Linked DNA regions of Struthio camelus. The protein of the gene in region 3 interacts with the protein of the main gene of each other region in a biochemical or structural test. Links are inferred from orthologs where the notes say so. Each region holds a gene or a part of one and is shown on either strand. Other genes may lie near its edges.

Evidence for each region. The genes of interacting proteins can lie anywhere in the genome.
Region 1: the proteins of SHANK1 (region 3) and CACNA1D interact in a biophysical measurement, tested with the Homo sapiens proteins (2 studies listed by IntAct, with this or other methods). The link is inferred for Struthio camelus from reciprocal best matches to the Homo sapiens genes SHANK1 and CACNA1D.
Region 2: the proteins of SHANK1 (region 3) and WWTR1 interact in a test that uses a peptide from one of them, tested with the Homo sapiens proteins (2 studies listed by IntAct, with this or other methods). The link is inferred for Struthio camelus from reciprocal best matches to the Homo sapiens genes SHANK1 and WWTR1.

The regions. Positions count from the first base shown.
Region 1 is NC_090955.1:17,400,429-17,408,645, forward strand, and holds the start of CACNA1D (voltage-dependent L-type calcium channel subunit alpha-1D), read right to left. Parts: upstream 3,270-8,217; 5' UTR 2,938-3,269; coding exon 2,901-2,937; intron 584-2,900; coding exon 265-583; intron 1-264. UniProt on the Homo sapiens protein: Voltage-sensitive calcium channels (VSCC) mediate the entry of calcium ions into excitable cells and are also involved in a variety of calcium-dependent processes, including muscle contraction, hormone or neurotransmitter release, gene expression, cell motility, cell division and cell death.
Region 2 is NC_090950.1:34,065,685-34,073,628, reverse strand, and holds the start of WWTR1 (WW domain-containing transcription regulator protein 1), read right to left. Parts: upstream 3,270-7,944; 5' UTR 3,226-3,269; coding exon 2,822-3,225; intron 1-2,821. UniProt on the Homo sapiens protein: Transcriptional coactivator which acts as a downstream regulatory target in the Hippo signaling pathway that plays a pivotal role in organ size control and tumor suppression by restricting proliferation and promoting apoptosis.
Region 3 is NC_090975.1:52,848-60,662, reverse strand, and holds the start of SHANK1 (SH3 and multiple ankyrin repeat domains protein 1), read right to left. Parts: upstream 3,154-7,815; 5' UTR 3,123-3,153; coding exon 3,081-3,122; intron 1-3,080. UniProt on the Homo sapiens protein: Seems to be an adapter protein in the postsynaptic density (PSD) of excitatory synapses that interconnects receptors of the postsynaptic membrane including NMDA-type and metabotropic glutamate receptors via complexes with GKAP/PSD-95 and Homer, respectively, and the actin-based cytoskeleton.

The DNA.
Region 1 (8,217 bases), on a different chromosome or scaffold from region 3:
CAGCTATGAGCTCTTCTCTGAGTTACCTACTTCAGTGAAATGATACTCTGCGTCATTATGACGCAGATTAAGAGGCTATCGTCAACAGGAATTTACGCAAAATTAACTACCATCAACATTAATGAGAGTTACTCACATACATGCAGGCAAACTAATACGTTGTAGCTGAGAAGCTGTAAGAGATGTTGTTAAGACAATCTCCTTGATACATTTGGAAAACACAAAAGAACAGATGATAAAAAAGAAAACTGCATCAGAGGATACTTCCATTCTACTAGACTAATGCAGGCTCTTCGTATTGGGTTGTTGAGGGATAAACAGAAAAGGGCACGGGGTGGCCGACTATTAGACGTGTTACCCTGTTTTTTGCTCTTGGCATATTGCTGGCGTTTTCTTTGGGACAGAGATCCTACAGGCTGGGTTGTGGTAGTACTCATATTTTGGGCAGCCTTTGCTTGTCTAGCAGCATCAATTGCAGCTTGCCAAGACAGAACAGTTTGCTTGGATGGTGCTGAACTGTTTGACTGAATAGTTGGTCCGTCACCAGGGAGAGGAATTCTGGTGCTACTTGCATAGTTCGCCTCTGTGAGAGAAGGAAAAAAAAAAGAAAAAAGTACTTGGTTATATTTTTTATGATAAAATATGTCATAACATTGTTGATAAAAAGATTTTAAGAAGTCTCGATGGTGTGATGCTTCCACCACAGATACTGCATAGCATGAGTATCTATGTAATTGCACAGTAAAATAAGGTTCAAGAATCAGTAGTATAAATTTAAGTTTAATCTGAGTGTCAAGACAAGTACCACAGAGAAATATCTCAAATTTTGATTCTTCCATTTAGTTCACAGTTCCAAACTGGATAGCAGCTTTCATGTCACTATACTCAAGTCTAATAGCCATACCTCCTTCTTATAACCGACTTGTTATAGCACCTGAACACTTACTATTTCCTCACTTCATTTTGATCAAAAAAGTAGTAGTTTAAAGTTCTTGCACATTTTTAATTGAGAATATTCAACACTCTTTGAAATACTACCAAAAAAAATTCCTATAAGCAACTTAAATCTTGCCCTATTCTGCATTCTCAAAGAAAAATGCATGGATGCCTCCAACAAGTGAAAATTAGATACTGTCTGGTGATAAATACACTCATAAAGTATTGGTATCTTCCACATCGCAAATTCCACGAGTGAAACCACTATAAAGAAATGCTTTTATTTATTTATTTATTTTTTACAAGGAAAAAACATATTTCACCTCCAAAACAGTTACTGAAGTTCTGTTAATCGAGATGTCAGCACAGAAGGCAAAACACCACCACCTAGCAAGGATCCTTCCTTGTAAGCCCTTTGACTAGAGCAAGAGCCTACTCCTAAATGCACCTGTAGGAAGGAGATATTCCTAAGAAAATATAAAACTTGAAGATGCCTGGGTGGGGAAAAAAATGGAGGAACGGCGCAATTACGCGAACGGGGAGTTTCAGACGGAATGACTGAAAGTTCATTCTGGTGCTACCGAGGCGGGAGAGGAAAACAACTCCCCGGCGATCGCTGCTCATCACACGTAAACGAGACACGAAGTCCCCTCGACAAAAATCACACTCCTCCTCCTCTGCATGGGGGGGGAAGTAAATAACAGAAAGAGGTACGAGCCCAGGGTATGCGTGTGCAGAGCAGAGGGAGCCTCTCCCGCGGCCCCGCTCCGCGCCTCGCCGTGTGTGAGGGCGGGAAGCGGCGCGCGGGGAACGAGGGGGCGCACTAAAATGGCTCCCGGGGCTGGCGGTGCCGGGAGGGGGTGTCACTCCCCGGTTTAGCCCACACGTTTCCCTCTGAAACCAGCAGATTTTCCGCGCAGATCTAGCAGCAGGGATGGCGAGCGGCGGAGGTGGCCATCAGAGAGCAAGCGGCACATCAACAGCTGGTCCCTGCCTAGGTTACACAAGAAGAGGAGTTCCTCCGCCGGTTACGGTTTGACACGGAGGGAAAGGTGTGAATTTAATCTCCAACATTTTTCCAAGGGAAAGATTCTTGCCTTTTTTTTTTTTTTTTTTAAAAAGCAACGGCACAGCCATCTCTTCCCCCCCTCCTTTCCGCCAGCCTTTTGAAATGCCATGAAACGTGGCTCGGCACAAATAAACCACCAATCTATCTGTCATCATTTTAAAATCAATACTTGAAAGTGAAACAAAGCCCGAGTGTCCGTGTTCCCCGGGGGGAACCCCTGCCCTCCAGCAGGGACAAAAATACAAACTTACTGCTAATTTCAAGAGGGAGGAATCATTTTTTTTAAAAACAACAACAACAACAATGGGGGATGTAGCGCTGCCGGAGCCTGTTTGCGAAGGAGATTAACATATAGGAGCCCCATGTGTCGTCTCTCTGCACGCTCCTGGCAGCGACGTGACGGGGAAGTGGGCTGAAAACATCGTATCCAAAGCCCTGTAATAACCCCTCACCTGCCCTCCCGCCCCCCGCCCAAGAAAGCCCCTGGGAAGCGGCATTTCCAGGCAGGTTCATCCCCAATTACACAAATAAGAGAGAAACATGCACAAAGCCATGTCCTCTCTCTGCCTCTCTCAGCCCAACCAGCTGATATTAACAGCCCTGAGGCCAGAAACAGACATGTATAAACCCGCTCCCATGTTAGTTACGCACCGAGGGCAGCATCCCTGTCGCTACTTAACCTTATCCCGTGCCCTTCCTATTCCCCGAGCCCTTTCTCCTGGTCCCTTCCTCAAGCGCAAACGCTCACCCCAAACCTACCCCATCCTCAACCCCTTCCCTAATCCTCCCCCCCCCCAAATCCCCGTCTCCCAAATCCCTCACAAATCCTCCCCCGCCTCCCCCTCCCCTCAGCCCCGGGGATGCTGCTGCCCTTGGTGGGCGCTCCGGCTCTTACCTTCAGGGTGCTGCTCCTGCTGCTGGTGGTAATGCATTATTCTCACTTTCTCCGGTGTGTGAGAAAAGGAGGAAAAAAAAAAAGAAAGAAAGAAAAAAAGCAGCGACGCCCCCGACCCACTCCCAAGCCAGGTGTGCGCTGCCCTCTGCGCTCCCCACTATCCGACCCCCATGGTAGTGTCTAGCGACACACGAGGGGCTGCTGCTGCTCCTGCTCCTGCTGCTGCTTCGCTGCTGCTGCTGCCGCCGCTGCCAAATCCCTTAGAGTTTGGGCCAACATGACACTCACATCCGGGTGACACGGGATCTCTCCATCCCTAGCAACCCGGCTGCTGCTGCTGCCTGATCCTCAGTCCCCCTGCTGCTGCTGCTGCTGCTGCCGCTGCCGCCGCCACCGCTGCCCCCTTCACCGCCGCCGCCACAGGGTTAACTCCCTCGCTGCTGCCGCCGCCGCTGGGGCCGCGGCCACCGCCACCTGCTGCTGCCGCGCTCCCGCGGCCGGCCGGGGCGGGGGAGCGGAGCCGCGCGCTAATCGCCTGGAGCGGCGGCAGCCGCAAATAGAACCGCGGCAGCGGCTTAACCCCTTCGCCGCCGCGCAGCGCGGCGCTTCCCTTCCCGCCCGCCACCGTCCCTCAGCCCGCCCTCAGGGCCCGCCGCGGCCGAGCCCGCTGCCCCGCGAGCCATGCCCCCCCCTCAGAGCCAACGGCCGCCCGCCGATCCCTGTGACCGCTATCCTTTGCTCTCTCTGCCCCAGCGCACAGGCCTGTGTCGCTGCCCCGGACAACCACCGTTCAAACGTGTTGCTTCTCGACGCGCTCGCGCTACCGCGCCCTTCGCAGCTGACAGCCCGCACGCCCGGCGCCCCGCGCCGCCCTCGCACCTTCCCGCCTCCGGCCGCGGCCGCCATTTCGCCCCCGCCCGGCTTGAAGCGCCGGCGCCGCGGCCGCAACCGGCCGCCTCGGGGGCTTCGGGCCTCGTCCCTGCTGCGATGCCTCCTCTCAGGCTCAGCCGTTGCACCCCCAGAAAAGTTACTCAAACCTTGAGCTCCCTGCTGAATTAACTTATTGAAAGGCGTGTCCTTCTGGGTCCAAGCGAAAACCAGGTATTTTCAGAATTTTCCCTGAAATGACTAACTGGAATAAATTTGAAAATTTTCATTTTCACTGCAGAATCCTCCGGTACTTTGAATTTCAGTTTGGTTCCACTGTTCTTGAAATACCTGTAGAAGTCATGCGTGCTGATGTAAAAAAAAAAAAATACCTTTCTGTCAGGGCAGCTGTCTTTACCTGCCACCGTAAAAAGTAGCCTTTCAACCACTGTAAACCGTAATTAATGAAATAGAGTATGATGTAGAGAAATACAAATTTGAAACATACTTGATGCTTCAAAGTTAAAGTTGTTTTTTTCTGCAATGAAAATTTTCAGATTTTAAGACTATTTCAGGATACTTTTCTGAACAAGCTATCATCCAAAGCAATGTTTTGAACCTTTACACTTTGACAAAAGTGCCATTTTGTTGAGAAAACATTTCAGTGAAACTATTTCTACTAACCTCATTCCCCTGATGCTTTCTTATGCATGTCCCTATCCTCTCTTTTAGCCATTCTTCATCCACAATTATCTTCATGTAATTAATAATAAATAAAAACTAAAGATAGTAATTAGAAGAGCAATAAAACCTTAATATTGCTGACATTCTCCAAGGAGATGGTGAAGAATACCCATCCTCCAGTTTCTTAAAAAGCTCCCAGTTACATGCAGTCCATCCCTTTTGATGTTATTTTTGTAAATTAAAGGATAAAAACCATTACTGGTAAAGCTACTTCAGAAGCATTCAGCAAGAAGTCCATTAAAGAAGGAAAATTCCTATGCCCCTGTGACTGCTTGATCTTGATTTGAACACTTATTTTTTCATGACCTTCTGATCCGATTCAGCTGTTGCAGTTTTGAGTCAATCTGTTGGCTTGGGGTTTTGTTGCTTTAACTGGGAAGGTGCCACTCTGAATTGAGAGCTTTGTATCTTTTGTTGTGTGTTTTTTCCAGACAAAATCTTAACAGTCTAGGTGCTTAGGCACCTGCCTTAAATGCCCATGAAAGTCAGTAGGACTTAAGTTCTTTACAGTCAGATATTTAAAGGCCTAAAAATGCTTGGTTCATCTTCAAAAGTGTCTAAATCAAGACTGGATGCCTGGGAGGCGCTGGGAGTAGGCACCTAACATGCTTATCAGGAGTTAGGTGCCTAACCTGCTTAGGCACTTAGTACCTTTATAAATCTAGACTTAGGTATCTAAACCATTTTTTAAATGAGGCTTATAAACTTAAACACTGAGGCACTATTGACAAATTCATAACTAATAAGACCTGGAGCTAACATAAGCAAAGAGCATCCTATAGAAAAAGGCTGCCTCTCCTGCAAATTTTTTTCATGAAATTCCTGGCTCTTGGCTTTGCCAATGCTTATATTTTCTAATCCCCTGTCCTTATGAAGGACCATAGCAATGTATACGGGAAGCTACCAAATACTCCTCAAAACCAAACTTATTAGATTTGTGAGCCTCCCAGTCAAAGTATGAATCAAACAGTTCTTGCATTTAAGATAGAACTTTTTTCACAGCTGGTCCAAAACTGTAAGCATATAGTCTTCCTAATTTCAAAAGCTATCCAGCCTTTGGTGGCTGGATCAAGGGATCCACTGTATTTTCAAAATCAAAATGGTTCTTTTACAACATAATTGCATGTGAAAAGTGTGTGTTATTTTTATTCTTGTTATGTTTTTCAGACCACATGAAAGTAATGTCCTATATAGTTAGAAATGAAATGCAAATTCTTTTAGAAAGTTTTGAGAAAGTGCTTAAGAAAATTGATACTGTTTACTCCAAAGGTGCTGATGCTTGCTTCAGTATTATCTGAAATTTGTTTCCAGATTGTATATATGAAAATTACTCAAGCCATTAATTCTTCTAAGGAGCGCTTTCCCTTTTTCTTCTACAAACTAGTGTCTGCTTATTTCAATTACATTGCTTCACTTTGATATCACTTAGATATTATTTATTCCCTCATGAATGAAATGTCTGGCATTACATTGATGGTTGAGAATGTTTACTAGCTATTGTAATAAGTGATGAGATTTTGAGTGAAAACAACCTGTATTGAGAGAAGAGTTAAATACGAATGTCCTGATCTGCCATACAGTCTGCACTATGCCATTCTCAGTGTACTTCCTTTATATATTAAAGGATGGTAGAGGAGGCAACAAATATATTCATTATTATTATTCATTTATTGCAATTTCCCACTAAATTACTATTCTCCCCCCCCCCCGATAACATTTATTGCTTGTCAGAGATTTATTTTCTGTAAGGGAAACAGATAGCCAAAGAAGAAGCCCATTAATAGACATCATAGGAGCAGAAGCTCTTTAAGAATTAGGAAGTGTTGTGCACAAGGGTAAACTTACTTAACGAAAACTTAAGCTACCTATGAGCTTGTTGAATAGTGCACAGCAATACTATGCAATGGTTCATTGCAGGAAGAAGGAACAAACAAATCCAAGTGAAATACATGTGGGAGGAAGTTATGTAACAGATATATAATTTTATAAAACATGTGAAGCAACAGAACTAGCCTAGTCCTTCACAAGCAAGTAATTCTCACTCATGCGGGTTAATCCATTATTAACTTTAATAGTCCTGCTGTAGTTATTAGTATACTAACATATACTAATCTATTTCTACACTTATATGTGGGAGGAATATTTTAATGAAAGATATGTTGGAGAACAAGGACTTGCAGAATTCATTCTCATTAATATTATGTATTTCCTTCTAATTCTGTATACGTTTTCAGATGCATCACCTTTTCTTTTCTTGCCTAAAGACTTCTATTTTCATTCTTGTAGCCTGAAGTATCATACAGCTACAGTTTGAGTTTGGAGATGTTGTTCAAATTTTTATCTAAGAAAGATCGTAATGAAACTTAAATGTGTCCATAATTTTGTTTATGTCAGATCAGCGAGTACCATCTTTCTGATGTCAGTACAAGTAATGGTGACTCTCTAAAGAACTTGGAAAAAGCACTTCACTATTATGAATGCAGTTTATAAGGAAAACCATAAAAAGTGCATACCTCTGAAAACCTATTAACTGGAGATCTCAAAAATAGATTAAAATGTGCATAAATGGATTTTAAAATACATGAATTCACCACAGAATAATGATGAGAGGGAGGCTTAATCTTCCATGTTACTGACTTTATCCATACTCGAGATTTAAGAGGTAAGAAATCTTCCAAGAGGAAATGACACTTAATTTTGATTTGCTCTCTACAAGAATAGTCTTTTATGTTTTTATATAATTGTCTTTTTATTAATTTGGGTGAGCAGAGTATGGTAATAGCAGACTAGGCACAGTTCTGATGTTCTTTTCTCCTATTTAGGGTTTGACAAAAACATTCAAGATTCCAGAAACCTACTACACTGAGGTCTTACCGTGTAACTATTTGCATGTAAGCTCACCAAAATACACAGTTTTTGAAAGCTAAATGTAAATGAAGTGAGTGACACTAATTCAGTCTAGCTGAAGATCTATCTGTACATTCATGAAAAAATCTCTCTGTGAAAACTTGTATGGAAACAGGGAGGGAGGAAGGAGGGAAGGGAGCAGGGGAGAGAGGAAGGAGGGACAGAAGGAGAGAAGGAAAGGAGGGAAGGGAGGAAAGGAAAGGAGTTGTGCAGACAGCACTGTTTTCATTTGTTTCAACAGTTTCAAGCATGTCTCAGATTGCCTGTAGATTAAGTAAATAGCTAGTGGTCTCCACTAATGCTTACCAACTCAGCAAAAAAAATACTAATTTTTTTTTCCTAGCCTCTCAGCAGGACTTTATACAGTGGTACCCAAATAGAAATGGACAACTGCAAACACAATTTTGGATAAAACACTATTGTATATGTCTCTGAAACTATATTTTTTCATTTTCTGTAAGTATTTAGAATATAATATGCTTCTGAACACAGTGGAAGTCTATTAAACTTACAATCCAGTTGGATTTTTTCACAACGAATTGCTAAGATTTTAATGAAATGTGCTTTCCTGACTAATTAGACTCTTTGGCATCCTGTGGCATGAATTAGGATACCATTACTCAGCAATACAGTTAATACTCTTCCAGGAGTTCTCTCTCTCTCTCTAGGTATAGTTCTTCTTCTTAACTATTTTCAGTATTTACTTAATCTTTTCACTAACTTGCTTTGAATATCCAACTGAAAGTGTAGCCACTTCAGAGTTATTGGATATTCTGTGTTTTTTTTTTTTTAAATCTCA
Region 2 (7,944 bases), on a different chromosome or scaffold from region 3:
TCTGCTGAACCTGTTCAGTAATATAAAACTGACCATGTGTTAGATCAAACTTTTCCACCAACAGAAACTGGTAGCAAAAAGTGGGGCATGTCAGGTAAATCAAGTACTTAAAGTAATCAGCCTGCTTTCCCCTGAACAAGCTTTTACTGGCAAATATGTCCTCATACGGCAAATGTTTACCGTAACGTTTTTAAAAACCGCTGTGATAAAGGTAACAGCAGCAACAAGTTTCACAAATCGGCTCAGTGCAAACATCATACTCTCTATACAGATGTGTTTACCTCCTGGAGTGAAGTCACAGTCTGATCAGAAGCACGGCACACACACACCGAGAAAACACTAAAGCCTTACACTTCATTTGAAATACGAGGCTGCAGTACCTAAAATCAAACTGGCAGAAAGCAATACTTGAAAAATTCTGATGACAGAATATGTGTACACAGTTCAGCATGTGGATCAATAGGCAACTGATATTCCCACTTACCAACGTAAGAGCTACACAAGGCATTTTGCCCATCTTTCCAGAAATCCTTTTTATCAGAAAGAAGTCACACTTAAACTTTTTTTTTCCCCCCACACATGCACACACAGAAAAATGCTTTAGATAACATTGCTGTAAGTGAGTGTGTGTTTATTAGTCTGTTTTCCATCCCCCACTTCTGTGGCTTGGTATTTAATTACAGGGTGGAGTGGTCCCGAGGCTACTTATGTTTCTTCCAGTCACAGCCAGAAAACTTATGCAGGAACTGACACGCAAGGCCGTGATTTCTGCAAGTTATAGCTGGTTCCTGGTCAACGAGGCCAACTAAGGCTCACTGCTCATTTAAAGTCCCATCGTTACTTTCGTTTAGTAATTCTTGATAATACATTTAAGTAAAACAAATTGCATTTCAAACCTCAACAGATCATAAAGGCTTTAATACAACCTAGTTTTTTGCTAGTTGCTCTCCACCTCCTTCTCAATTTTCTTTTGCCAATGACTATACACATGTGCATAGCATTAAGCTGAAAAGAAATGGTGACTTTTTTTGACAGGCAGCCCTCGGGTATACATAAATGTAACCTTATATGCCAGGTTTGACCAAAGAGTGTTTCCAAATGAATCATCTGACTTAAACACTATATATTATTTTGCACAGTTTTAAACGCCGCTTTCCATAAACAGGATTAAATTTCTGTAGAAAACGCTATTTTCACCTGAAAAACATTACACCACGGCAAAATATTATAATTCATAGATGGTCGTTTTATAGCTGAGTATTACCTCCCAAAACTATTACTGAGTAATAATGAAATAATTTATACCACTTAATTATTACAGAAATTTTTAAAAGTTCTAAATAAAACTGGTTAAACAAAACAGAAAGTCTACCTTAGGTAACAAATTACACTCGTATATTAAAAAAAAAGGATATTGTTAAGCAGAATATTCTACTTTTAAGAGGTATAAAAAACAGAATAAAAGCAGATTCACAAAATAAAGTTTCTCAAAACGTTCACCGATTCGATTATTGTTGATGTGATTTGGAAAAAATATAAAAGACACTTTTGGGTTTTCCCCACAGCTTTTCGAATAAGAGACTCGCATTTTTGGTCCAAGCAGCAGGAATTCATCAGCGTTTGGTGATAGGGAAAAGCCTCTCTGTCAGACATGTGTGATGGGAAAGATGAAACCACAGGAACTCATTTCGATATCAACCAAAAGCCAAACAGCAGACAAAAATTATGTTACATCGTTTTTAACAAGAATCTGAAAACACCTGCTGGCCAAACCCTAGTAAGTATTTACACAAAATATTTATCTCCAAACGATCTGTTACAGTGCTCCTATCAGCTTCCTCTTCTCTGGCCTGCTTTCTTGAGAAAAAACATATGCAAGATGCAGCGCAACAAGATCTCCTCGCGTAGGTGGTAAATGAGATCAGTAAAAAATTCACAAGTCTGAACCCTGGTACGTGGCCACCCAACATTATAAATCACATATACTAACACACAGAGTGGCAAAAGAAAGGAAATTAGTTTTCACACTTTGCTAGTAACTTGGAGTGTGACAAGAGGCAAGAATCCAAATTCTTCGGAGTAACTTCAGAGGCTGTCTTGGTTTTTGAATAATCCTTTGGAGATTCCAAAGCCTCCAGGTAATGAAATCACTGCACCAGGAGATGAATTACGTATTTACTGATTTTTCTAAAAAGGAAACATTGTAAACGGCTGAACTCAAACTACTACTTCTTCTCCTGACCAAGAAGGTCGTAGCGAAGGGGCAAACTGCCTCCTGCAGCGCTGGCCGTTAACCTCCCTCCTAGGCAGGGCCTTCACTAGTACGGGGCTACCGCCTGTTGGCCCAGTCCCTAAGGGGCCGCTTAACCTGCGGCGAGCCCGGAGCCAAGCCAGGCGCTGGATCACACGCTGCAGCGGCTCCTTACGGTCGCTACGTGTCTTCAGGCCCTAGCGCGCTGCTGTCCGTCAGAAACGGAACGCGTGGCCAAAACGGACCGGGGCCCGAGGGTGAGCAGCGGCGGGCGCCGCGCGCGGGGGCTGGCGGAGGGGCCGGGCCGGGGTGCCGGCCCGCCGCCTGCGGCCCCACGTCCCCTTGCCACGCGCGGCGACCCCCGTGACCAGCGCCCGGGCCCGTCAGGGAGCGGCGTGCCGGCTCCGCCGCGGCCTAGCGGGCGGCGCCCAAGCGCAGGTCGAGGCGCCCGAGCCGCCCGCCGCCGCCGGCCCTGGCGCCCACCTGCCAGGCCCGAAGCCCCGGGGTCCCGCCGCCCGCCCGGGGTCCCGCCGCCCGCCCGGGGTCCCGCCGCCCGCCGCCGGCACTCACTTGAGGAAGTACCGCTGTCCCGTGTGCGTGAGCGCCATCTCCCAGCCGGGCGGCAGCGGCAGCTCGTCCGTCACGTCGTAGGAGCGCTGGCGGAGGTGCGCGTGCTGCGGCGCCGCGCTCGCGCCCGCGCCCGCGCCCACCAGCGAGGCGGGCGAGGAGTGGGAGCGGACGTGCTGGGCGGCGGCGGGCCGCGGCGGCGGCGGGCCGCCCGAGTCCGTGCTGGACTGCCGCGAGTGCGCGCCCGAGTCGGGCTCCTTGAAGAAGGACTCGGGCAGGATCTTCTTCCTCCAGGAGCTGGGCTTGGGGTTCATGACGGCGTTGAAGAGCGCCTCCAGCTCCGTGTCCAGGTCCTGCGTGACGTGGATCACCTGCTGCCCCGGCGGCGGCGGCGGCGCCCCGTTCATCTTGCCGCCGTCGGCGGCGGCGGCGGGCGCGGGCGGCCCGGCGGGCGGTGCCGGGGCCGGGGCCGCCGCCGAGGACGGGCCGTGGGTGCCGGGCGGGCGGCGGGCGGCGCGGGGCGGGCAGTGCCTCTGCGCCCCGCCAGCAGCGCCGTGTCCCGGCGGGCGGGAGGGGCGGGCGGGTCAGCCCCGGGCAGCGCGGCGCCCGCCCCCGGGCCGGGCCGGGCCGAGCCGCGGCGGGGCGGGGGCGGGGGCGGGGGCCGGGCCGGGCCAGCCACCCCCCCCCCGCGCGACGGCAGTTATGCAACTGCCGCGGAAACTTCGGAGCTTGGGCTGCGGGGCGGGGAGCACCCCCCACCGCTGCGCCGCGGGGGGGCCGGGGGGCGGGGCGGGGGCGGTTCTCCTCAGGGCGGTGCGGGGGGGGCGGTTCTCCTCAGGATGGGGCGGGGGGGGCGGTTCTCCTCAGGGCAGTGCGGGGGGGGCGGTTCTCCTCAGGGCAGTGCGGGGGGGCGGTTCTCCTCAGGATGGGGCGGGGGGGCGGTTCTCCTCAGGGCGGGGCGGGGGGGCGGTTCTCCTCAGGGCGGGGCGGGGGGGCGGTTCTCCTCAGAGCGGGGCGGGGGGGGCGGTTCTCCTCAGGGCGGGGCGGGGGGGGCGGTTCTCCTCAGGGCGGGGCGGGGGGGCGGTTCTCCTCAGGGCGGGGCGGGGGGGCGGTTCTCCTCAGGGCGGGGCGGGGGGGGCGGTTCTCCTCAGGATGGGGCGGGGGGGCGGTTCTCCTCAGGGCGGGGCGGGGGGGGCGGTTCTCCTCAGGGTGGGGCGGGGGGCGGTTCTCCTCAGGATGGGGCGGGGGGGCGGTTCTCCTCAGAGCGGGGCGGGGGGGGCGGTTCTCCTCAGGGCGGGGCGGGCGGGGGGGGCGGTTCTCCTCAGAGCGGGGCGGGGGGGGGCGGTTCTCCTCAGGGCGGGGCGGGGGGGCGGTTCTCCTCAGAGCGGGGCGGGGGGGGCGGTTCTCCTCAGGGCGGGGCGGGGGGGGCGGTTCTCCTCAGGGCGGGGCGGGGGGGCGGTTCTCCTCAGGGCGGGGCGGGCGGGGGGGGCGGTTCTCCTCAGAGCGGGGCGGGCGGGGGGGCGGTTCTCCTCAGAGCGGGGCGGGGGGGGCAGTTCTCCTCAGGATGGGGCGGGGGGGGCGGTTCTCCTCAGGGCGGGGCGGGGGGGGCGGTTCTCCTCAGAGCGGGGCGGGGGGGGGCGGTTCTCCTCAGGGCAGTGCGGGGGGGGCGGTTCTCCTCAGGGCGGTGCGGGGGGGGCGGTTCTCCTCAGGATGGGGCGGGGGGGGCGGTTCTCCTCAGGGCGGGGCGGGGGGGGCGGTTCTCCTCAGGGCAGTGCGGGGGGGGCGGTTCTCCTCAGGGCGGGGCGGGGGGGGCGGTTCTCCTCAGGGTGGGGCGGGGGGGCGGTTCTCCTCAGGATGGGGCGGGGGGGGCGGTTCTCCTCAGGGCGGGGCGGGGGGGGCGGTTCTCCTCAGGGTGGGGCGGGGGGGGCGGTTCTCCTCAGAGCGGGGCGGGGGGGGCGGTTCTCCTCAGAGCGGGGCGGGGGGGGCGGTTCTCCTCAGAGCGGGGCGGGGGGGGCGGTTCTCCTCAGGGTGGGGCGGGGGGGGCGGTTCTCCTCAGGGTGGGGCGGGGGGGGCGGTTCTCCTCAGGGTGGGGCGGGGGGCGGTTCTCCTCAGAGCGGGGTGGGGGGGCGGTTCTCCTCAGGGCAGTGCGGGGGGGGGGCGGTTCTCCTCAGGGCAGTGCGGGGGGGGCGGTTCTCCTCAGAGCGGGGCGGGGGGGGCGGTTCTCCTCAGGATGGGGCGGGGGGGGCGGTTCTCCTCAGGGCGGGGCGGGGGGGGCGGTTCTCCTCAGGGTGGGGCGGGGGGCGGTTCTCCTCAGGGCGGGGCGGGGGGGGCGGTTCTCCTCAGGGTGGGGCGGGGGGCGGTTCTCCTCAGGGCGGGGCGGGGGGGGCGGTTCTCCTCAGGGCGGGGCGGGGGGGGCGGTTCTCCTCAGAGCGGGGCGGGGGGGGCAGCAGGTTCTCCTCGGAGCGGCGCCCGGGGGGGGCGGCGGGTTCCCCTCGGAGCAGTGGGGGGGGGCAGCGGGTTCCCCTCGGAGTGGGCCCGGGGGGGGCGGCGGGTTCCCCTCGGAGCAGTGGGGGGGGGGGCAGCGGGTTCCCCTCGGAGTGGGCCCGGGGGGGGCGGCGGGTTCCCCTCGGAGCAGTGGGGGGGGGCAGCGGGTTCCCCTCGGAGTGGGCCCGGGGGGGGCAGCGGGTTCCCCTCGGGGCGGCTCCTCGCCCCCCGCGGCTGGAAGACCTTCTGTCCGCGCAGTTCCCTGTTTTTAAAGCGTCGTGCGGGAAGCGCGGCGGTCACCTCCCTGGTCTTTGGAAGCAGAGCGATGATGCTTCCTTGGGTTAATTTATCCCAGCAGTTTTGTGGCGTAACGTAGCGGTCCTGCGGCCACGAGAGCCACGTCGCGGGGCAGGAGGGGGAGACGCGCGTGGTAACGCGGCCTGCCCGCGCTCGTCAGCGCTTGCGAAACGGTTTAGCCCCCTGTTGCCCGTAGGAATTTAGTGCAGAGTTTTGTCATGTCTTTACAAGTTGCTCTCCACAGGGGCAGATACTTCCAGCATCGCCCTGCTGCTGTTTGGGTCTGTCCTGACCCCCCGTCGCAGTCACGTGCCCTCCATTTACCCTACGTGAAAAGGCGTAGCTGTCATCACAATGCATCCCTGAGGCTTTTTCTCCAAATCAATTTTAATTTGTGCAAGTTCAGCTCCTTTTGAATCTTTCATTTTCCCGTGGCAGACTCGAAATGGCTTTTGAACGGTGCTGATGTGACCCCAAATTTGCTGAAATTCCCTAGCTCCGTCTGTAAGGAGTAGTACCGCTCACTTCCCAATTTGGGGCTGGTTTTTACTGTAGGAAGCATACAGCGTCTTCATGACTGTATGTGTACAGACATTACGCGTTCGCTACACAAACACACCATTTTAGTGATATGTTTCTTCATTTTATTTCTGTAGTTTGGGCGGACTGCAGGCTACGCTGGCGCTGACTGATAAGAACGCGTCCTCCTCCCTAATCTGAACCCACATTAGAAAAGTCTCAGGTAAGCCATGTTTTTCCTGATCTGATTTTCCTGATGTCTTGCCTTAAGAAGTAGCGTGGCCTGTTCTGAGCTGCCTTTGGCTCCTCTGAGTTGAAACTAGGACCTGTCTCCTGAGCAGTCCTTATCCCTTGGTTAGCGCTACGTTTCAGCTTAGCGCTGCAGACTCCGAGAGTCACAGTTTAAGTACATCAATTCTGCATTAGGCTCAGATCAGGGGAACAGGAGTTGCTCTTGCTTGTGCATTTCCTGGTTTCCTTGCTTCAACAAGTATGCTGTCATTTATTTATTTTTCCTTACCTTTCCTGTTCGTGTTTCCACTGGCTAGGCAGATCTCCTCCTTGTATTTTTTGCCACATCTGCTATGTTTCTGATCAGGAAGCACAGTACTCCTGAGACTTGTTTACACTTCCCTTCCCTGAGAATTTTCCCTGCTATCTTTTGTGCCATTCTTCTACTGCTTCCTTGCTGGGTCACTTGCTAGCAGTTTTACTAGCTCAGACAGCTGTGCTAATTAAGCACCTGCTGCAGGGTTATGTAGATATTACATATAATTTTTTTTCTGCAATTTCCTTGTTTAAAACCCTTGCATATCAGATGATTGCGTGTATGTGGCTATTGTGTAGATAACGATCTGAACATAAGTGCTTTTTCACGTAGCCTTTAAAAAGGCTGTTATGCTTCCTCCAGGCCTTCCTCTGTACCCTTCCCTACAGACACACCTATCTACCTGTTACATTCCTTTCCAAATGACATGCCAATTAAAGGCAAGACTCCGACAATCTCATTCACGCTGACATCTCATATAAATTAATTAGACCGCTTCCATAAGACAGCATTGCATTCCATGACTAAGCATATACCCACCTGTTCTAAACTTCAGTAGTATCATCCAGTGTAAAAAATACAACAATAACATGAATGCAACTCATTTTTATGTGCTGCTCAACAGAAATTCTGGTGTTCGACTGAAAGATCTGTGAAAGCGCAGCTCTTCAGGCGCGCCCTCTTAGTAGTCCGCCTTCTAGCAGCGAGTTCAAGAGCAGTATCTATGCTTCAGTGGAAAGCCAAGCAATCAGAGTAGGTGCACTTTCAAACATATCCTTAGAAAATGAGCGTCTAATGGTTTAAAGAAGCAATACCATATGTTGTCATTTTTAATCTAGATCCGTCCCTGCTTTGTAGAAAAGCCTTGCATGCATTAATGTGTTTCTCTGAGAAAGCTTATATAGGTGAAGATGCAGGTGTGATGTCTTAAGATAAAACCTTCAGGATTCCCTTGAAAAGTCTCCTTCCTGGGTAACTGACTAGCAATTACACGGTGCAGATCATGAAGAGCGTGCATGCTTCCTCCCTTTGGTAGTCATTAACTACATCTACCTGCTTTCATATATGTCAGTGAAAAAACAGCCATAAATAAAAGAAAGCTTACATGTCTGCAAAATGAAGACTTGGGTTGGTGCTCCAGAACGCATGCGAAGCGTATCCCCTGTAGCCAGCTCTGATGTGGGTTATTTAATACAAAGACCTGGTGTATATTGCAAAGTTTCACCAGAATAGCTATGTCAGCATATACTCTCCAGCCAACATCTCCAAGCCAACAAAA
Region 3 (7,815 bases):
CACAATCAGCCCCAAAAACAGCCCCCGCAGCCGCCCCGTGATGCTGGGCGAGAAACGGCCCCACTCGGCCCCGAAACAGCCCCGAAACGGCCCCCGCAGCCGCCCCGGCGACGCTGGGCGAGAAACGGCCCCGCTCGGCCCCGAAACGGCCCCCGACACGCCGCAATCAGCCCCGAATCGGCCCCCGGAGCCGCCCCGGCGACGCTGGGCGAGAAACGGCCCCGCTCAGCCCCAAAACGGCCCCGAAACGGCCCCCGCAGCTGCCCCGGCGACGCTGGGCGAGAAACGGCCCCGCTCGGCCCCGAAACAGCCCCAAAATGGCTCCCGGAGCCGCCCCGGCGATGCTGGGCAAGAAACGGCCCCGCTCGGCCCCGAAACGGCCCCGAAACGGCCCCCGCAGCCGCCCCGGCGACGCTGGGCAAGAAACGGCCCCGCTCGGCCCCGAAACGGCCCCGAAACGGCCCCCGCAGCCGCCCCGGCGATGCTGGGCAAGAAACGGCCCCGCTCGGCCCCGAAACGGCCCCGAAACGGCCCCCGCAGCCGCCCCGGCGATGCTGGGCAAGAAACAGCCCCGCTCGGCCCCGAAACGGCCCCGAAACGGCCCCCGCAGCCGCCCCGGCGACGCTGGGCAAGAAACAGCCCCGCTCGGCCCCGAAACGGCCCCGAAACGGCCCCGAAACGGCCCCCGCAGCCGCCCCGGCGATGCTGGGCGAGAAACGGCCCCACTTGGCCCCGAAACGGCCCCGAAATGGCCCCCGCAGCCGCCCCAGAGATGCTGGGCGAGAAACGGCCCCGAAACAGCCCCGAAACGGCCCCAAAACGGCCCCCGCAGCCACCCCGGAGATGCTGGGTGAGAAACGGCCCCACTCGGCCCCGAAACGGCCCCCGCAGCCGCCCCGGCGATGCTGGGCGAGAAACGGCCCCGCTCGGCCCCGAAACGGCCCCCGCAGCCGCCCCGGTGATGCTGGGCGAGAAACAGCCCCGCTCGACCCAAAATGGCCCCAAAAACGGCCCCCGGAGCCGCCCTGGCGATGCTGGGCGAGAAACGGCCCCGCTCGGCCCCGAAACGGCCCCGAAACGGCCCCGAAACGGCCCCCGGAGCCGCCCCGGCGATGCTGGGCGAGAAACGGCCCCACTCAGCCCCGAAACGGCCCCGAAACGGCCCCCGCAGCCGCCCCGGCGATGCTGGGCGAGAAACGGCCCCGCTCGGCCCCGAAACGGCCCCGAAACGGCCCCCGCAGCCGCCCCGGCGATGCTGGGCGAGAAACGGCCCCGCTCGGCCCCGAAACGGCCCCGAAACGCCACAATCAGCCCCAAAAATGGCCCCCGCAGCCGCCCCGGCGATGCTGGGCGAGAAACGGCCCCGCTCGGCCCCGAAACGGCCCCCGAAACGCCACAATCAGCCCCAAAAATGGCCCCCGCAGCCGCCCCGGCGATGCTGGGTGAGAAACGGCCCCGATCGGCCCCAAAAACGGCCCCAATTTGGGTCCGTCCCCGCCATTTTGCGGTTTCCCGCCTTTTTTGCGGGTCCGCCCCACGCTCCGGCCCCCCACGTGCGCTTAGTCCGACCCCCATTTTGGCCCCCCCAAAACCCTGCCCCCCTACATTTTGGTCCCCCCTCTATTTTGGTCCCCCCCCAAATTTCATGGTCCCCCCCCATTTTGGGGTCTCCCTCTTATTTTGGGGTCCCCATGTCGTGCCCCCCCCATATTTTAGTCCCCCACATATTTTGCGCCCCCCCCGTGCTTTGGTGCCCCCATATTTGTCCCCCCCTCCCCATTTTTCAAGGTTCCCCCCCCAATTTTGGTACCCTCCCCCCAAAATTTCAGGATCTCTCCCCCTATTTTGTCCTCTCCCCCCCAATTTTGGGTCATCCCCCCCCACTTCTTTAGGTTCTCCCCAATTTGGGTTAATTTCCCCCATTTTCGGGGTTCTCCCCCAATTTTTTGGCCCCCTCCCCCACATTTGGGGATTTTCCCCTCATTTTGGGGGGGTCCCCCCCCATTTCCTGGGATTTCCCTCCCCTTTTTGGGGTTCCCCTCCCCCATTTCTCAGATTTATCCCTCATTTTGGGGGTCCCCCCCATTCCCAGTGCCCCCCCTATTTTGGGGGTTCCCCCATCCCACCCCCGAGGTTCCCCCCATTTTTGGGGCTCCCCCATCCCTGCTGCCCCCCCTTTTTTGGGTCCTCCCTACCCCTAGTGTGCTCCACCATCTGTGGAGACCCCCCCCAATTTTGGGGTCACCCCCACCCCCAAGGTGCCCCATTTTTGGGGTACCCACCCATTTTTGTGTTCCCCCCACCCCCAGGGTGCCCCATTTCTGGGCACCCCCCATTTCTGGACCCCCCCATTTTCGGGGTCCCCCCATTTTCGGGGTCCACCCCCACCTCAAGGTGCCCCATTTTTGGGATTTCCCCCCAATTTTGGGGTCCCCCATCGTCCCACCCACCCCTGGGATGCCCCATTTTTGGCTCCCCCCCATTTCGGGGTCCCCCCACCCCCGAGCTGCCCCATATTCGGGGTCCCCCCATTTTTGGGGTCCCCCCACCCCGGGATGCCCCATTTTTGGCTCCACTCAATTTTGGGGTCCCCCACCCCCAAAATGCCCACCATTTTCGGGGTCCCCCCCAATTTTGGGGTCTCCACACCACTGAGATGCCTCCCCCATTTTAGGGGTCCCCCCCACCCCGGGATGCCCCATTTTTGGGATCCCCCCATTTTCAGGGTCCCACCACACCCAGGGTGCCCAATTTTCAGGGTCCCCCCCACCCCAGAGGTGCCCCTTTTTTGGCTCCCCCCCAATTTTGGGGTCCCCCCACCCCCGGGATGCCCCATTTTTGGGACCCCCCCATTTTTGGGGTCCCCTCAACCCTGGGTTGCCCCATTTTGGGTGCCCCCCAATTTTGGGGTCCCCCACCCCCGAGATGCCTCCCAATTTTCAGGGTCCCCTCCCACCCCTGAGGTGTCCCATTTTTGGCTCCCCCCCCAATTGTGGGCTCCCCCCCAGCCCCTGAGAGGCACCCCCCCAATTTTTGGGGTGCCCCCTCCCCATTTTTGGGGCTCCCCCCCCCCAGCTCACCGTCTGGTGCAGGTCAGGGATGCCGATGCGGAAGACCATCATGCTGAAGTGGCCGTCGGCGGCGGCGGGGGGCGGCGGGGGGCGGCGGGGGCCGGCGCGGGGCCGCCCGGGCGCCGGCTTAGCGGGGCCGGCCCGCCAGCTGCCCGAGTCCGAGTCGCCCTCGGGCCCCTCCGACGCGCGGCCCCCTTCCTCCTCCTCCTCCTCCTCGCTGGAGGGCGGCGGCGAGCGCGGCATGCTGCCGGCGGCCGCCCGCCGCCACCATCACACGCGCCCCTGCCGGGCACAGGCCACCCGTCACGCGCTGCCCCCACCCCGCGCCGCGCCCCGAACGCCCACGCGCTACCCACCCGCTCGCGCACGCTTGGGTGTGCGTGCACACGCTTGGCCGCGGTGCACGCTGGCAGGGCGGAGGGGTGCCGGGCAGCAAGGCGGGGGTCTCTGAGCACCCACACGCCACCCACACGCTTGCACACGCTTGGGTGTGCGTGCACACGCTTGGCCACGGTGCATGCTTGCACGACGGAGGGGTGCCGGACAGCAAGGCGGAGGTCCCTGAGCACCCACACGCCACCCACACACTTGCACACGCTTGGGTGTGCGTGCACACGCTTGGCCGCGGTGCACGCTGGCAGGGAGGAGGGGTGCCGGACAGCAAGGCGGAGGTCCCTGAGCACCCACACGCCACCCACACGCTTGCACACGCTTGGGTGTGCGTGCACACGCTTGGCCGCGGTGCACGCTTGCACGACGGAGGGGTGCTGGGCAGCAAGGCGGAGGTCCCCGAGCACCCACACGCCACCCACATGCTTGCACGTGCTTGGGTGTGCATGCATGTGCTTGGGTGTGCGTGCACACGCTTGGCCGCGGTGCACGCTGGCATGGCGGAGGGGTGCCGGGCAGCAAGGCGGGGGTCCCTGAGCACCCACACGCCACCCACACACTTGCACACGCTTGGCCGCGGTGCACGCTGGCAGGGCAGAGGGGTGCAGGGCAGCATGGCGGGGGGTCTCTGAGCACCCACACGCCACCCACCTGCTTGCACACACTTGGGTGTGCATGCGTGTGCTTGGGCGTGCATGCACACGCTTGGCCGCGGTGCACGCTGGCAGGGCGGAGGGGTGCAGGGCAGCATGGCGGGGGGTCTCTGAGCACCCACACGCCACCCACACACTTGCACACGCTTGGGTGTGCATGCGTGTGCTTGGGCGTGCGTGCACGCGTGCAGGGCGGAGGGGTGCCGGGCAGCAAGGCAGAGGTCCCCGAGCACCCACACACTTGCACACGCTTGGGTGTGCATGCGTGTGCTTGGGCGTGCATGCACACGCTTGGCCGCGGTGCACGCTGGCAGGGCAGAGGGGTGCCGGGCAGCAAGGCGGGGGTCTCTGAGCACCCACACGCCACCCACACACTTGCACACGCTTGGGTGTGCATGCGTGTGCTTGGGCGTGCATGCACACGCTTGGCCGCGGTGCACGCTGGCAGGGCAGAGGGGTGCAGGGCAGCATGGCGGGGGGTCTCTGAGCACCCACACGCCACCCACCTGCTTGCACACACTTGGGTGTGCATGCGTGTGCTTGGGCGTGCATGCACACGCTTGGCCGCGGTGCACGCTGGCAGGGCGGAGGGGTGCAGGGCAGCATGGCGGGGGGTCTCTGAGCACCCACACGCCACCCACACACTTGCACACGCTTGGGTGTGCATGCATGTGCTTGGGCGTGCATGCACACGCTTGGCCGCGGTGCACGCTGGCAGGGCGGAGGGGTGCAGGGCAGCAAGGCGGGGGGTCTCTGAGCACCCACACGCCACCCACACACTTGCACACGCTTGGGTGTGCATGCGTGTGCTTGGGCGTGCGTGCATGCGTGCAGGGCGGAGGGGTGCCGGGCAGCAAGGCAGAGGTCCCCGAGCACCCACACACGCTTGGGTGTGCATGCGTGTGCTTGGGCGTGCATGCACACGCTTGGCCGCGGTGCACGCTGGCAGGGCGGAGGGGTGCCGGGCAGCATGGTGGGGGTCTCTGAGCACCCACACGCCACCCACATGTTTGCACATGCTTGCACATGCTTGGGTGTGCATGTGTGTGCTTGGGCGTGCGTGCACGCGTGCAGGGCAGAGGGGTGCCGGGCAGCAAGGCGGAGGTCCCCGAGCACCCACACGCCACCCACACACTTGGGTGTGCATGCACATGCTTGAGTGTGCGTGCACACGCTTGGCCACGGTGCACGCTTGCATGACAGAGGGGTGCCAGGCAGCAAGGTGGAGGTCCCTGAGCACCCACACGCCACCCACACACTTGCACACGCTTGGGTGCGCATACGTCTGCTTGGGTGTGCATGCACACGCTTGCGTGTGCAAGCATGGGCTGGGGTGTGCGTGCACACGCTCGGCCGTGCTTCGCCCTTGCAGGGCGGAGGGGTGCCGGGCTGCAAGGCGGGGGTCTCTGAGCACCCACACGCCACCCACACGCTTGCACACCATGCACACACTTGGGTGTGCACACATGTGCTTGGGCGTGCATGCACCCGCTCGACTGCGCTGCACGCTTGCAGGGTGGAGGGGTGCTGGGCAGCGCGGCGGGGGTCCCCCAGCACCCACACGCTTGCACACGCCTGGGCGTGCATGCACACAACTGGCCATGCTGCACCCTTGCAGGGCAGAGGGGTGCGAGGCAGCACGGCGGGGGTCCCTGAGCACACACACGCCACCCACACGCTTGCACATGCATGGGTGTGCGTGCACGTGCTTGGGTGTGCGTGCACACGCCTGGCCGCGCTGCACCGTTGCAGAGCGGAGGGGTGCCGGGCAGTGCGGTGGGGGTCCCTGAGCACCCACACACTTGGGTGTGCATATGTGCGCTTGGGTGTGCGTGCACACGCTTAGTCACGCTGCACGCTTGCACGGCGGAGGGGTGCGGGGCAGCGCGGCAGGGGTCCCCGAGCACCCACACACTTGGGTGTGCATATGTGTGCTTGGGTGTGCGTGCACACGCTTAGTCACGCTGCACGCTTGCACGGCGGAGGGGTGCGGGGCAGCGCGGCGGGGGTCCCTGAGCACCAACACGCCACTCACACGCTTGCACACGCCACCCACACGCTTGCACACACTTAGTGTGCACGCACACACCTGGACGTGCATGCACACGCTTGGACGTGCACGCACATGCTTAGCCACACGGCACCCTTGCAGGGCGGAGGGGTGCGGGGCAGCGCGGCGGGGGTCCCCGAGCACCCACACGCCACCCACACGCTTAGACAGGCGCCTACCCGCTCACGCTTGCACACGGGCCCCCAGGCGCCGGGTTGCACACGCGCGGCCACGCTGCCGCCCTCGCCCGCCGGCCCCGCACACGCCTGCACACGCCTGCGCCGCCCCGGGTCGCCCTTGGCGGGCTAAATTTGGCAGCGGGCGAGGGAAGTGGGGCGGCTCCCGGGGGGGGACACGGCTGCGCCCGCCCGCACACGCCAGACCCAGATTTGCCGCCCCGGCGCCGCTGTGACATTGGGGGCCCTTGTCCCAGTTGCGGGGGCGGCGGGCGGGGGCGGGGGCGCACACGTGGCGGGCCGTGTGCGTGCACGACGGGGTGCGTGTGCGACGGAGCGCGTGCATGCACGGGGCACATGCGTGCTAGTGCGTGTGCGACGGAGCGCGTGCATGCACGGGGCGCATGCGTGCTAGTGCGTGTGTGTGCACGACGGGGTGCGTGTGCGACAGAGCATGTGCATGCACGGGGGCACACGCATGACGGTGTGTGTGCATGCACAACGGGGTACTTGTGCAACGGAGCGTGTGCATGCACGGGATGCATGCATGACAGCACGTGTGCATGCACGACGGGGTTGCGAATGCAACGGAGCATGTGCATGCACGGGATACATGCATGATGGCGCGTGTGTGTGCACGATGGGGTACTTGTGCAATGGAGCGTGTGCATGCACGGGATGCATGCATGACGGCGCGTGTGCATGCACGACAGGGTTGCAAATGCAACAGAGGATGTGTCTGCACAGGGGTGCACGCATGACGGAGCGTGTGCGTGCACCACGGGGTGCAAATGCGACAGAGCGTGTGCGTGCACAGGGGTGCATGCGTGAGGAAGCGTGTTCGTGCAAGGGTGCACGCCTGAGGGAGCGTGTGCGTGCGCAGGGAACAGCGCACGCCCGAGGGAGCAGGTCTGCACACCTGAAGCGGGCGCGCACCATCACGCGTGTGCACGCACGGGGCTGCTGCGGCGCACACGCAACAGCCTGTGTTCACCTGCACACACCTCGTGCACGCTCACGCGGCTGCATGCGGCTCGCACACACCCCGTGCACGAATGCACATGGCCCGTGCACGCTCACGCGGCTGCATGCAGCTCGCACACGCCCCGTGCACGAATGCACACGCCCTGTGTACACCTGCACACCCCGTGCAAGCTCATATATCCCCATGCATGCTCACACCACCCCGTGCACGCGCACACCACCCCCTTGCACGCTTAAACACCCCCAGCGCACTCTCACACCCTGCGCACGCTCACACACCCTGCGCACGCTCACACCTTATGCACGCTCGCATGCCCTGTGCACACTCACCCCCCCAGTGCACGCTCACACCCCGTGCACGCTTGCACCCCCCCCAATGCCTGCTCACACACCCCCCAATGCATGACCACACCCCGTGCACGCTTGCACACCCCTCATGCACGCTCACAGCCCATGCACGCTCGCACACCCTGTGCACGCTCACACCCCCT